Nothobranchius furzeri: one gene and its partners. The protein of the gene in region 1 binds, or shares a complex with, the protein of each later gene. Links are inferred from orthologs where the notes say so. Each region holds a gene or a part of one and is shown on either strand. Other genes may lie near its edges. The genes, in order: ranbp2, sumo1 and nup93.

Region 1 (3,650 bases):
GAAACACATTCGGTTGCTGACGCTTCATTTCTGACCAGACAGGCATTGCAATGCCACTGCCCGTTTTTCTTAGCAAAATCAGACCCAAGTGCTGATGTTGCAGCAGGGTTTGGACTTTGACAAGCAGCGCATTTGTCAGCTGATGCTTCATTTCGCACTTCACACACAGCACAGTCCCATTGTCCAGACTTCTTACTAAACTGTGCAAATCCAGAGTCTGAGACAGCCACAGAGGGCTGTGCAGCAGGTGCATCTGCAGCAGGTGTTGTTTGCGCCATCACAGATGTGATGGCATGTGACAGCATGTGCAGAGCTGCAGTTTTAGGAGCCTTACAAGAAACGCAGCACTCTGCAGAGACCTCATTCTTTGAAGAACACTTGTTACAGTCCCATTGTCCAGACTCCTTACTAAACTGTGCAAAACCAGAGTCTTTCACATCTGCATCAACAGCAGGTGTGGTTTGGACCATCACAGATGTTGGAGCTACAATTTTAGGAGCCTTACAAGAAATACAGCTCTCTACAGAGGCCTCGTTCTTTGTGGAGCACTTCTTACAGTCCCATTGTGACCCAAATCCAAAGGTAAATGCACTGGCTTTTGTGTTGGCAGACTTTGAGGAGCTGGTGCCAAATGTAAAAGAGGATGGTATAGAAGCTCCAAAAGCACCAAATCCAGAGAATGTGGAACCTGAGCTGCTGGGATTTGATGCATCAGTACCAAATTTGAAAGTAAATTGAGTCCCTTTGGTTTCCCCAGAAGGCTGCATTTCTGGTTTTGATGATGATTGTGGATTGGCATGTTGGCACGCCAAACACCGCACATCTGTTGGCTTATTTCTCACACAGCACACAGGACACTCCCAATCCCCTTCTTTAAGTGCAAACCGAGCTGCCAGCGAGTCTTTTAAATTTCCCTCTTTTTTCTTCTGCTGAGTTTTCTTTTCTGCTGGTTTGAGTAAAACTTTCTGAGCTTCCTCAAACTTAGCTTTGAAGAGGGCTGCCTCATCTACCGTTTTGAAGCGAATGGCCAGTTGTTCCGGTTTCGGCTCTTCATCTGCATAATCGATGGCGTTCCACACCCAGGATTTGTCAGAACCAGCGTTTGGTTTCAGCAGCATGTCAGCAGTGATGTAGTGGTTTGCACAGATCTTAAGAACTTGCTCTCTTCTCATCAAGAGGCGGACCTTTCCTTTTGTGCTGTGTTTTAGGATTTTAACATTGCCTATGCCTCGTTCTTTCCACTCTTTTGTCTCCGTGTCAAAACGATACAATTTCGCCCTGTTGCAAAACATTTCCTCTTCCTCTTCTTCACCTGTTTTTACATCTACCTTATCAGGCAAAGGAACAATTGGCTCAAAATGGGGACCATCCTCATCTTCTTCAGCATGAGCACTATCACTGTCGCTCTCTATTGCTTTTTCCAGCTCTGTTGTCTTGGCAGCAACAAAAACTGACTTGGTAACTTCAATAAACTTAAATGGCTGCTCCGCTTTCCCAAAAAGACTTCCAGCTTTCTGTGTAGGATCAACAAATGAGAAGCCGGCCACGTTTTTATTTCCAAAGGTGAAGATTCCTGTTTGGCTGGAGGGCTGCTCCTGGGCTGGAGACTTTTCTGGATCAGCATCCGTTTTCGTAGGAATGTCCGATGTGAGGAGACCAAGCAAACTTTCACTGTGCTTGGCTTGAGAAGATGAGAAAGTGAAATCTCCATCATTAGATTTAAAGTTGGAATTGAATTTGAAAGCAGTTGAGGGTGCTGACTGGGCAACTGCTCCCGTACCAAAGTTTGGCACTCTGGGGACTTCAGCAGGAGCATTTTGGTTGAAGGCAAGTTTCCCGAAGTCCACAGGCTTCCCCTCAACACTCTTTGGTGGTTGAACAGGGACTACAGATGGCTTGGTGAAGTAGCCGGGTTCAGGTAGAGAAGGATTGGTGGATTGATGGGTCACACCTTGGCTATAGTATTCTTCACCATATGGGGAGAGAAGGTTTGTGGCTGGTGATTCAAACCGGAGAGGGGCACCAAATACTTGTTCCTGCGGAGGGTAGATGCACGTTGGGGCTGTCTGGAGGGGAGGTGTATGAGTGGGCTGCTGGTAGGCATACATATGCTGCTGTGGGGGCATACGGTTCACACCATACATTGGGCCCTGGGTAAACAAAACATAAAAAAATAATCTTTTAACATCTTGTGCAAATATATTTTTGTAATCCAACAATTGGAGACAATAATTACCTTGGTTGGAGTCACATTTGCTGCTGTGCGCAAAAGATACTGAGAGTTATAAGCTGGAGACTGGTTGTAATACAGAGAGGATCCCGAGGTGGCAACTTCAAAAGGAGGAACAAGACAGATCAATAAAATGATGGAAATGTGCATTCGAAAGTCATTTAGAGCTCTGTAGAACACAGACCTGTCAGGGGCGCTCCGTGGTAGGACTGTACAGGAGTAAAAGGCTCATTCAGGCCTTCTGCCCTGTAGCCATCACTGTAGACCTTATGTGGAGAGCCTGCATTCACTGAGGCGTTGTGTTTCAGATCATGAACCTCGTTCTGCAAAACAGAGACGTGGTGATTAAAACAAAACCGTTATTTAGATCTCATTTAGGTTTAAAAGCCTCTTCATAAAAGGAAAACCACTCCCCAGTTGCACATCTGAAATGGGTTCAAAAGTCCTGTTACTGCTGTACATCACAGAACGGTGAGATCTGAATAACTAAAACAACTCCTCTCTAACTCTGACCTTGAGGGCTTCGACTTGCTGACACAGCATCTGAAGGAGACTTTTGTGGTCCTCAACCCAATGAGGTGGTGTCTTGGGTGAAATCTGCAAAATGTAATAAATTATAGAAATGCACAGATTTGTGGTTTATCATATAACGAGTGATTTGGACTCACCAGTCGTTTGGAGGGAGAAAGAATGCTTTTGTTTGGAGAGGGAGATGAAAACTTGATGTGTGAGATGGCTGCACTGGTTTCTGTGGGATGAGCAGGGCTGGAGTGAACTGGTCCTCTTTGACACATCATCTCCTTCTTGTCCTCTTCCTCTATGTCCTCCACAGTCTCGCCGAGCTGCTGGTTTACATCGTTTAGGAGGTCCACCACCTCCTCCATGGACACAGGAAGCTGCAATACAAACAAAAAAAAAAAAAACACTAAGGCTACTGATTTTCAGCTAACAAGTAAAAACTGTGGAGAAAAATGTACAAAAAAAAAAAAAAAAAAAAAAAAAAAAAAAAAAAAAAAAAAAACAAGTCAAGTAATCTGGGACTAACCCTATCAATGTCATCTGCATTTCCGTTGTAGATCTTCAACAAATACATCCTGAACTTTCTCAGAAAAGTTATGCATCTGTCTTGGGTCTCCTCCACACCATTGGTGGCCTCTTCTGAAAGTCGCTGGTAGATCTGAAAAGCAAAAATTAAATTAAATAAATAAATAAACAAAACAAGCTAAATTAAAGCTGCAAGCAGCGTCGTTCGGCCCTCGCAGCTCCGGCCTGGCCGGCAGTCTGGTGCACCCGGGCACATCTACTGAACATAAACATCGACCACACCGACACCAGAAACCGCGAACGGTCTCCTCGTCTGCATCTCACCCTGACTCAGCATCTTCTCTGAGCCCACCGTTAAATTACACATCTAACCACT
Region 2 (3,665 bases), on another chromosome or scaffold:
GTATACAGGGAAACGTGTTGCATTAAAAAAATCACACACCCTATACGACAAGGCCAAAAGGATTTCTGGATCTTCCACAATGGCTCAAAGAACTTTGGCTCATAATATAAAATAATGTGTTTTCCAAATCTATTTAACTTTAAAAAAAAAAAACAAATGCAGGTTTAGGCAGCATTTCAGTTTTTTAAGGAATAATTGCATTGAATATCCACAACAGTACTTATTTTTACATCTATTTGTGTTTTTTACATCATTTTTAACAAATATCAACATCCAAAGAAAAAATAGTGATACTGTGTACGCACACGTTTGTTTTCTAAATTTTATAACTTAAAGAGCAAGTCACCCCCTACAAGAAACTTACTTCACTCCCTCTTCATGTTTGAAAAATGCAACAAATGCTGTTGCCTGGCAGACCGAGAGGGCGGAGCCACTAACAAATACACACACAGGCTCACAACGGCATTGTGACATCATAAGGACCAGTTTACATCATAGCATACCTCTTAGCCAATAGCGATGGCAGATTTAGATTCTAATGCAGTGCAGGGTTTTTACCTGACAACGGCACAACACTGACAGTTTTAGGCAGAAAATTACAATTTGAACTAAAATGCACTAAAGTACAAAACTATTGACTACACGTGTCTGCAGCGTGATTAGACACACTATATAGTTTATCAGAAAAAAAAAGTTGATTTGGGGGTGACTTGCTCTTTAATAGCAGAATCTCTTCAAAAAATATTTACAGAATATGACAAAATATATTTCTGATTATAATCTCAGGGGGAATGTCTGAATCCTGATTTTAATCTCAGAGTTTTGTCTCTTTTTTTTCTCAGAATTCTGAGGGGAAAAACTGGTTTTTCAGTGGCCCAATTCTCTAAAAGAAAAAGAGACATTCAACAAGTTTTTTGTAGTTCATTGTACCAGTTTTTACTGCCTTAGTTTTAGTCTCCTTACACCTACTTAGTCATTCCTGACTGACCACATTATTTCTCTTCTCAATGTTTCATTGATATTATGGTAATTTTCCAGCTTTAGTCTTCAATGTTTTCTTTTTATGTAACCCTAATGTTCATTTGTGTTTTTGTTTTGTCTCTTTATTTATCTTTGGTGTGTTCTTGCTGTGTTTAGTTTCAGATTCCATCTTTCAGTTCTTTTTAAAACACAGAAAAGGTTTATTTACCTGCAACATTTCGTTTGCGGCTGCAAACATCGTCAGGCTGACGCCGATGGTGGCGTCACTTCCTTCGTTTATCCGCGGGCAGCAGAGGACGTTGTCGCCCTCGTCCTCTGCTGCCTGCTCTCCCCTCTCCGATGATGCAGTCCCATGCGCGATCCAACGAGTAAACTCCATCAACTCTGTTCATGGACCCACATCCATGTCTCCTTATCTCTATAGCGTCTTTTATCCATCTTTTGTTTTTCTGTTGTTTGGTGTTTATGATCCTTGTGTTGTCCCAGTCCATTATGTGGGATAACACAAGGATCATAAACACCAAACAGAAAAACAAAAGATGGATAAAAGAAGCTATCGAGATAAGGATGTGGGACCATGAACAGAGACGATGGAGTTTACTCATTGGCTCGCGCATGGGACTGCATCATCGGAGAGGGGAGAGCGGGCAGCAGAGGGCGACGATGTCTTCTGCTGCCCGCTAAACGAAGGAAGTGACGCCACCATCGGCGTCAGCCTGACGATGTTTGCAGCCGCAAACGAAACTTTGAAGGTAATGAAACCTTTTCTGTGTTGTAAAAAGAAGTGAAAGATGGAAATTGTCTCTTTATTATAAAGCACATTGAGTTGCCTCTGTGGAGGAAATGTGCTATAAAAATAATGCTGTCTTGTCTAATAAAATTACTTTTTACAGAAGGATTCTGCAACAGCTGTAGTTGTAAATAAGTGTTATTTATTGGGGGGGGGGGGGGGGGGGTTAAGGTTGCAGACCCCTGGCCTAGACTAAGGTAAGCTGCATGCTTCTCTAGCAGCATTTGCGTTGTTTTACAAAAAGTCTAATGATGTAAAATAATTTGAGAAAATGCATAAACAGTAAGAATTGCAGCAGTTAATACCAATCTGGACATAACTACAGCCAGTAAATTCAAACTAAATTACAAAATGAATTTAAAACCATTTAAAAAAATGGTTACATGGAGGGCCGTTATATAAAAAGAGTTAGTGAATCAGTAAATAAGCAGGAATAACCAGACTAAAGCCATCTCACTAGCTGTAATGATATTAAAACCTACCTGACCAATCACTTTTAACTTTATATACTCGCCATCCTTCTTATCGCCGCCGTCTTGACTGGATGGTTTTGTCTCCTTAAAAATAAACAAACAACATAAACAGCACAATACAGACACGCACCCACGTTCAAACAGGCCTGAGTGTTCACTTCGAAGGTTTGTTTAACAAAATCGCTCATCTTTTTGAACGACTTGACTATAAAATATAATAACACGCAGTTTCTGTTGGACATTTTAAAAAATAACAGCAAAATTTTTATCTAAAAGGTCAAAAAAGAGCTGTGTTTTGTGTCCCTGAAGCTACGTTAGCTGGCTAGTAGCATGTTAGATAACCAAACGAGCCTAAAAAAACAATCAATTTGTGCGTCTTCTGAACAGTTCCGACAGAAGATTTGTTGTTTTCCACAAACACTGGGGTCTTACCGTGTCTGACATTTTCTTATTTTCTGTGTTTTGGCTCAAATTTCCTGACAATAGATGTACCTTCAGCTTTCCGCTGCAGCTCTCGTTAGATGTTATGGGAATTCGACATTAGCCGGAAGTGACGAAAAGACGTTTTTTCACAATAAAACTCCCTTCAGATTAGAGAAACAATAGTATTTTTTATATTTTTATGCTGTTGTTGCGCTTCTAATGAAAGCAGTGAACAACAAATATTTTTAAATAATATTTAGATAAAATGTTCAAACTATCAGAAGTAGCAATCATTGTCTAAAAGTAATTATAATCATTTGCTCATGTAAATTCAAACAAATTGCAATGAATAAAAAAGTCTAATAATCATTATTACTGCATTTATCTGAAAAATCATACAATGAGGCGCACGTTAATATGTTGATCCCATCGCAAGACACAGTTTTAGTGTTATTGATCTGAAGTGAGCGGTGTGTTTAAAATGTGATCAAATTAATTCCATCTTTTAGTTCTTTTTAAAACACAGAAAGATTTTATTTACCTGCAACGTTTCGTTTGCGGCTGCAAAACCCAGGTAAATAAAACCTTTCTGTGTTTAAAAAAACTAAAAGATGGAATTAGAATTTCAACACAGCAAGAACACACCAAAGATAATCAAACGAATTGTTCTTCTTGCAGCAGAATTTTGCTGTTTGGGAATATAAAGTGGTAAAATTATGCGTTGAATGCACATTTACACATAGTGTTTAATGAAACAATTTAAATTTTATCATAACATGACTGGATTTGACTGCAAATAACTGAACTAAATTGGAATTAATAGGGGTCAAGTTAATCACTACTGAATGAACTTGGACCAGCATGTAATCAATTCAATTCAATTCAAAAATACTTTATTAATCCCAGAGGGAAATTGATTGCTGTAGTAGATCAGAATAATAATAATAATCAAGCCATCAAAGATTTGTTGTATATTACAATGGCTGTTGGCAGGACGG
Region 3 (3,650 bases), on another chromosome or scaffold:
CTGCTGCTGCCGTCATCATCAAAACACACCTGGTTCAACTGCAGAAGGAACACAGGGAGACGAGTGAAGGCTTCAACTAAAAGCCACACAGCGGCGCGGAGCTGCAGCAGGAACCAATCTGAGATGATTTTAGTTTCAAGGTTGATCTTTACACTATTGAGAGTAAAAGTAAAGCGTACCTTAAGCCAGAGGTAGTCTTCTGTTTTATCTGCCACCTCTCCATGGTTATCACTGACGTCACATTTCCCGATGAGGCAGTAGACGGCTCTCTTGTACGGGTCGGCACAGTTCCTCAGCGCTCTGCGGTAGTGAAGACGAAGCTTGTTCTCTGAAGTCGGGGAGAGGCTGAAGGGATTACACACAACTGCGGTTTTACTGGCGATGGCGAGGAAACGCTCGCAGCGACAGAGAGAAATAATCTGAACTGTTCTCACCGTTTGTCGGGGCTGTTCATGTACTCCTGAAACCAGGTCTTAAAGTCTCCCAGCTGGTGGTGCACTTTGCTCACCACCTGCATGGCTGCGTTCAGATCTCCACAGCGCAGGCAGTAGTAGACCACAGCCCACACTGGGTGGCCCTCTATCTCACCATCCTGTTTCAGACACATTTATTACAAATGATCATTTCTTAGAAATGTTCTTAACAAATATTCAGTCCAAAAACGAAACCCTGAAAAGAACACAGCACATCATTGGTTATACAGTTAATTTTGCACGGTTTTGTCTATTTTTACTCAGATTTCCAGTGAGAGATGATGCTAGTTGGAGCCTTACCTGCATGCCAGGAAGGGGCCCCGGCAGCTTGATGTTGAGGAAGCTGCGGACCAGCTGGTATGTTCCAGGCACACCTCCCAGTTGGGCCTGGTGGAGATTCCCAAAGACCGTTCCCATCGTGTGGTGTTTATATCTGCCAGTTCAGCAAAACCTGAATTTCAGCTAAACTCCAGATGAATGAAAACGCATCGCTTGAACTTGAGCGGTCGCTGAAACGGTTCCAAAGCCAGCTACCTGTTCTCCAGGAAGCTGAGCGCCTGACGCACGAAGGCCATCTGCATCTCAACTGAAGTGCGACTCTTGAGGGTGTCTTTGGCTGGAACCAGAAGCACATCTGTCATCTGCTTCACCATAAGCCACAGCTCTGAGACGTTCTGGAGGACAGAGGGGGACACAGCTTCATGAAAAATATTAAAACTGCGACGCCTCAAGCAGACTCTAAGAGCATCATTTATTTAAAGGGCTTCAAACAGCAGGAGAGAACGTTTGTTTGTTAGGGAGACTGAAGTTTTGGCTTGCTATTAGCGCCCCCTGGTGTCCAGTTAATAAAACCAAAAGTGAAACTGTTCTCCTTGCTGTGTGTGCGTTCGTCTTTTTAACACCTGAACCTATCTGCTGAAACGTCTCCTCGGCCTTCATTAGTGTCTACAGGTCAGGAGGAGTGATCACTAACTCAAACAAACCAGCTGTTGTCTAAAACAAGCAGGAATGCTAAACGATCTTTATTCATGTAGCGCCTTTTTAGGGTTCTACAACCCCCCAAAGCGCTTCACCACACCATCAGTCATTCATCCACCCGTTTGCATGCAGGTGATGATGAGCCACGATGTAGCCACAGCTGCCCCGGGGCACACTGACAGAGGCGAGGTCTGCCGAACACAGACGCCACCGGTCCCTCTGGCCACCACCAGCAACCTTCTGATTACTGGACAGCCGCTCTACCTCGTGAGCTGCTGCTGTTCCTGCTGGAAGCAGACTCCAGCGCTGCCATGCCCGCGCCACTTCACCAAGTCCAACAGGGACCAAACCCGCACTCTGAGGGAGGTGGGGTCTGAGTGACATTTCATTAACCCTGTAAAGGGTCATAGGGTCATCTTAGCACATACTGGCTCAAGAAAATGATATTAAAATATGAAAAAGTTGCACAGTGTGGCTTTAATCACTTCATTAATGGTTTATCTCCTCAAACTTGTTATAACTAACCCTCCCGCTGTCTTCATGGGTGACCCCACCAGGAAAGTTGACCATTGAGCAGGATTGGGTCCACGTGGCAGGGGTGAGGAGTGAGCACCACCTCACCCCTGCCACGTGGACCCAATCCTGCTCAATGGTCGACTTTCCTGGTGGGGTCACCCATAAAGACAGCGGGGGGGGGGGGGGGGTTAAGACCATTTATTCATGACAGGAATCTGAATATAAAAATGCTGCAGCATGCCGACTGGTTCACAAATTCATGTACGCCATGGAAATCATTTTTGTGTTAAAGAAGGTGAGAAAACAATGACATCACAAACAAAAACACACATTTCCTGACTTCTGAAAATGGTTCCTGGATGCTAAGGTTTGATGGGGATACAAATCGCCCCCATCGTGACAAAAACCCCGTTTCTTACCTTGTCATCCAGACTTTCTGCCGCTGCAGCTAACAAATCCCCCAGATTAGGCTGAATGTGTCCATTTACAATCTTCTCGTTAAAACAATAGATCTGAATGAGACAAAGCGAGGAACGACTGAAAGTTCTCATCAGGTTCACAGCCAAACGACGGCCCTAAGGCCATCGAGCCAAGTGGTTCACAACAAAAAACAGCAGAAAGAGGATCAAAACATTTAAGAGGTCATCAAAGAGGATAACAAAAATGAGACAAATGACACCGCACGCAATGTGCCGACACATTCTCTCACACACACACACAACACACACACGGTGTCATCCAGCAGATCCAGAAAAAGCATGGAGGGAAAAACAAAAGGTCAGACAGGACGATGAGAGGGAGCGATGAAGAGGTTTCACCCCCTCTACAGCCATATGAATCAATATCTTTGATCTGTCACTTCCTGGCTTGCTTTGACCCTGATTTCAACCAAATGACCGAGCCGACTGCCTCACACACTAAAACTGCTTCCTCAGGACAGAAATGTAAGAGGAAATGTTGTTAGAATGATGTTAATTTAACAAAAGGCACACAACAGCACAACCCGTAAATCTGCAGCTCTCAGACTAAACCTCTGAAGCTGCATTTTAAATTTCAGTGAACATGAAGACAGACAGACTGCTGCTGACTCACCTGCCGTCCATAAGCCACCTCCACACTATCTAGTGCACTCCTCCCTGGAGCTGTCACTTCACTCACGAAGCTCGGCTGTAACACACCAAAAAGCCACAGATGACTTCACAGCTGCGCTTCAGTCCACAGAAGAATAATCGTTCCTCACAGCCACGAGCAGCAGACACACCAACCATCTGCTGCACAACTCGAGTGTGTCTGCAGCACCGACCATTTCTGATGGATGCTTTTTCATTCTGGGGGTTGAGAAACCTGCGTGTCCACATGAGGTCAAACAGTGGGTAAAACCCCAGCACACATGGGTGTTACCCACTGCATGCTGGGATATGCTCCCATAGCACACAAATCCCACTTTACACCAGAGGACGATGTTAAAAATAACCTCCACGATTCTTAGATGAGGATGCTATTTTGGTCAGCTTAGATGTTGACAGTTATGAGTGTCAAAGAAATCGGATTTGAAATGATTTTCTAAGAGATTTTTTCAGCCCGGAAAGTTCAAATACGCTTTAAAATAGCTGCTTTTGGATGAATACCTTAGTAAACCACCCAGCAGCTAAAACGAGAGTCGCAGCTGCAGACACAAATGAA

The links.
Region 2: the proteins of ranbp2 (region 1) and sumo1 are in contact, whole or in part, in a crystal structure (PDB 1Z5S), measured with the Homo sapiens proteins. The link is inferred for Nothobranchius furzeri from reciprocal best matches to the Homo sapiens genes RANBP2 and SUMO1. Residues at the interface, in NP_006258.3 of Homo sapiens: Asp2631, Val2632, Leu2633, Ile2634, Val2635, Tyr2636, Glu2637, Leu2638, Pro2654, Thr2656, Cys2659; in NP_001005781.1 of Homo sapiens: Asp30, Ser31, Ser32, Glu33, Ile34, His35, Phe36, Lys37, Val38, Lys39, Thr41, Thr42, His43, Lys46, Leu47, Ser50, Arg54.
Region 3: ranbp2 (region 1) and nup93 share a complex: the UniProt entries of both Homo sapiens proteins name them as parts of the nuclear pore complex. The link is inferred for Nothobranchius furzeri from reciprocal best matches to the Homo sapiens genes RANBP2 and NUP93.

Annotation. Positions count from the first base shown.
Region 1 is NC_091747.1:23,225,203-23,228,852, reverse strand, and holds part of ranbp2 (E3 SUMO-protein ligase RanBP2), read right to left. Parts: intron 3,408-3,650; coding exon 3,276-3,407; intron 3,127-3,275; coding exon 2,899-3,126; intron 2,828-2,898; coding exon 2,744-2,827; intron 2,554-2,743; coding exon 2,415-2,553; intron 2,332-2,414; coding exon 2,237-2,331; intron 2,151-2,236; coding exon 1-2,150. UniProt on the Homo sapiens protein: E3 SUMO-protein ligase which facilitates SUMO1 and SUMO2 conjugation by UBE2I. Involved in transport factor (Ran-GTP, karyopherin)-mediated protein import via the F-G repeat-containing domain which acts as a docking site for substrates.
Region 2 is NC_091743.1:83,214,587-83,218,251, reverse strand, and holds the start of sumo1 (small ubiquitin-related modifier 1), read right to left. Parts: upstream 2,826-3,665; 5' UTR 2,689-2,825; coding exon 2,677-2,688; intron 2,329-2,676; coding exon 2,254-2,328; intron 1-2,253. UniProt on the Homo sapiens protein: Ubiquitin-like protein that can be covalently attached to proteins as a monomer or a lysine-linked polymer.
Region 3 is NC_091744.1:86,683,358-86,687,007, reverse strand, and holds part of nup93 (nuclear pore complex protein Nup93), read right to left. Parts: intron 3,135-3,650; coding exon 3,060-3,134; intron 2,480-3,059; coding exon 2,387-2,479; intron 1,916-2,386; exon of another isoform or gene 1,148-1,915; coding exon 1,008-1,147; exon of another isoform or gene 907-1,007; coding exon 774-906; exon of another isoform or gene 738-773; intron 593-737; coding exon 435-592; intron 346-434; coding exon 180-345; intron 39-179; coding exon 1-38. UniProt on the Homo sapiens protein: Plays a role in the nuclear pore complex (NPC) assembly and/or maintenance. May anchor nucleoporins, but not NUP153 and TPR, to the NPC. During renal development, regulates podocyte migration and proliferation through SMAD4 signaling.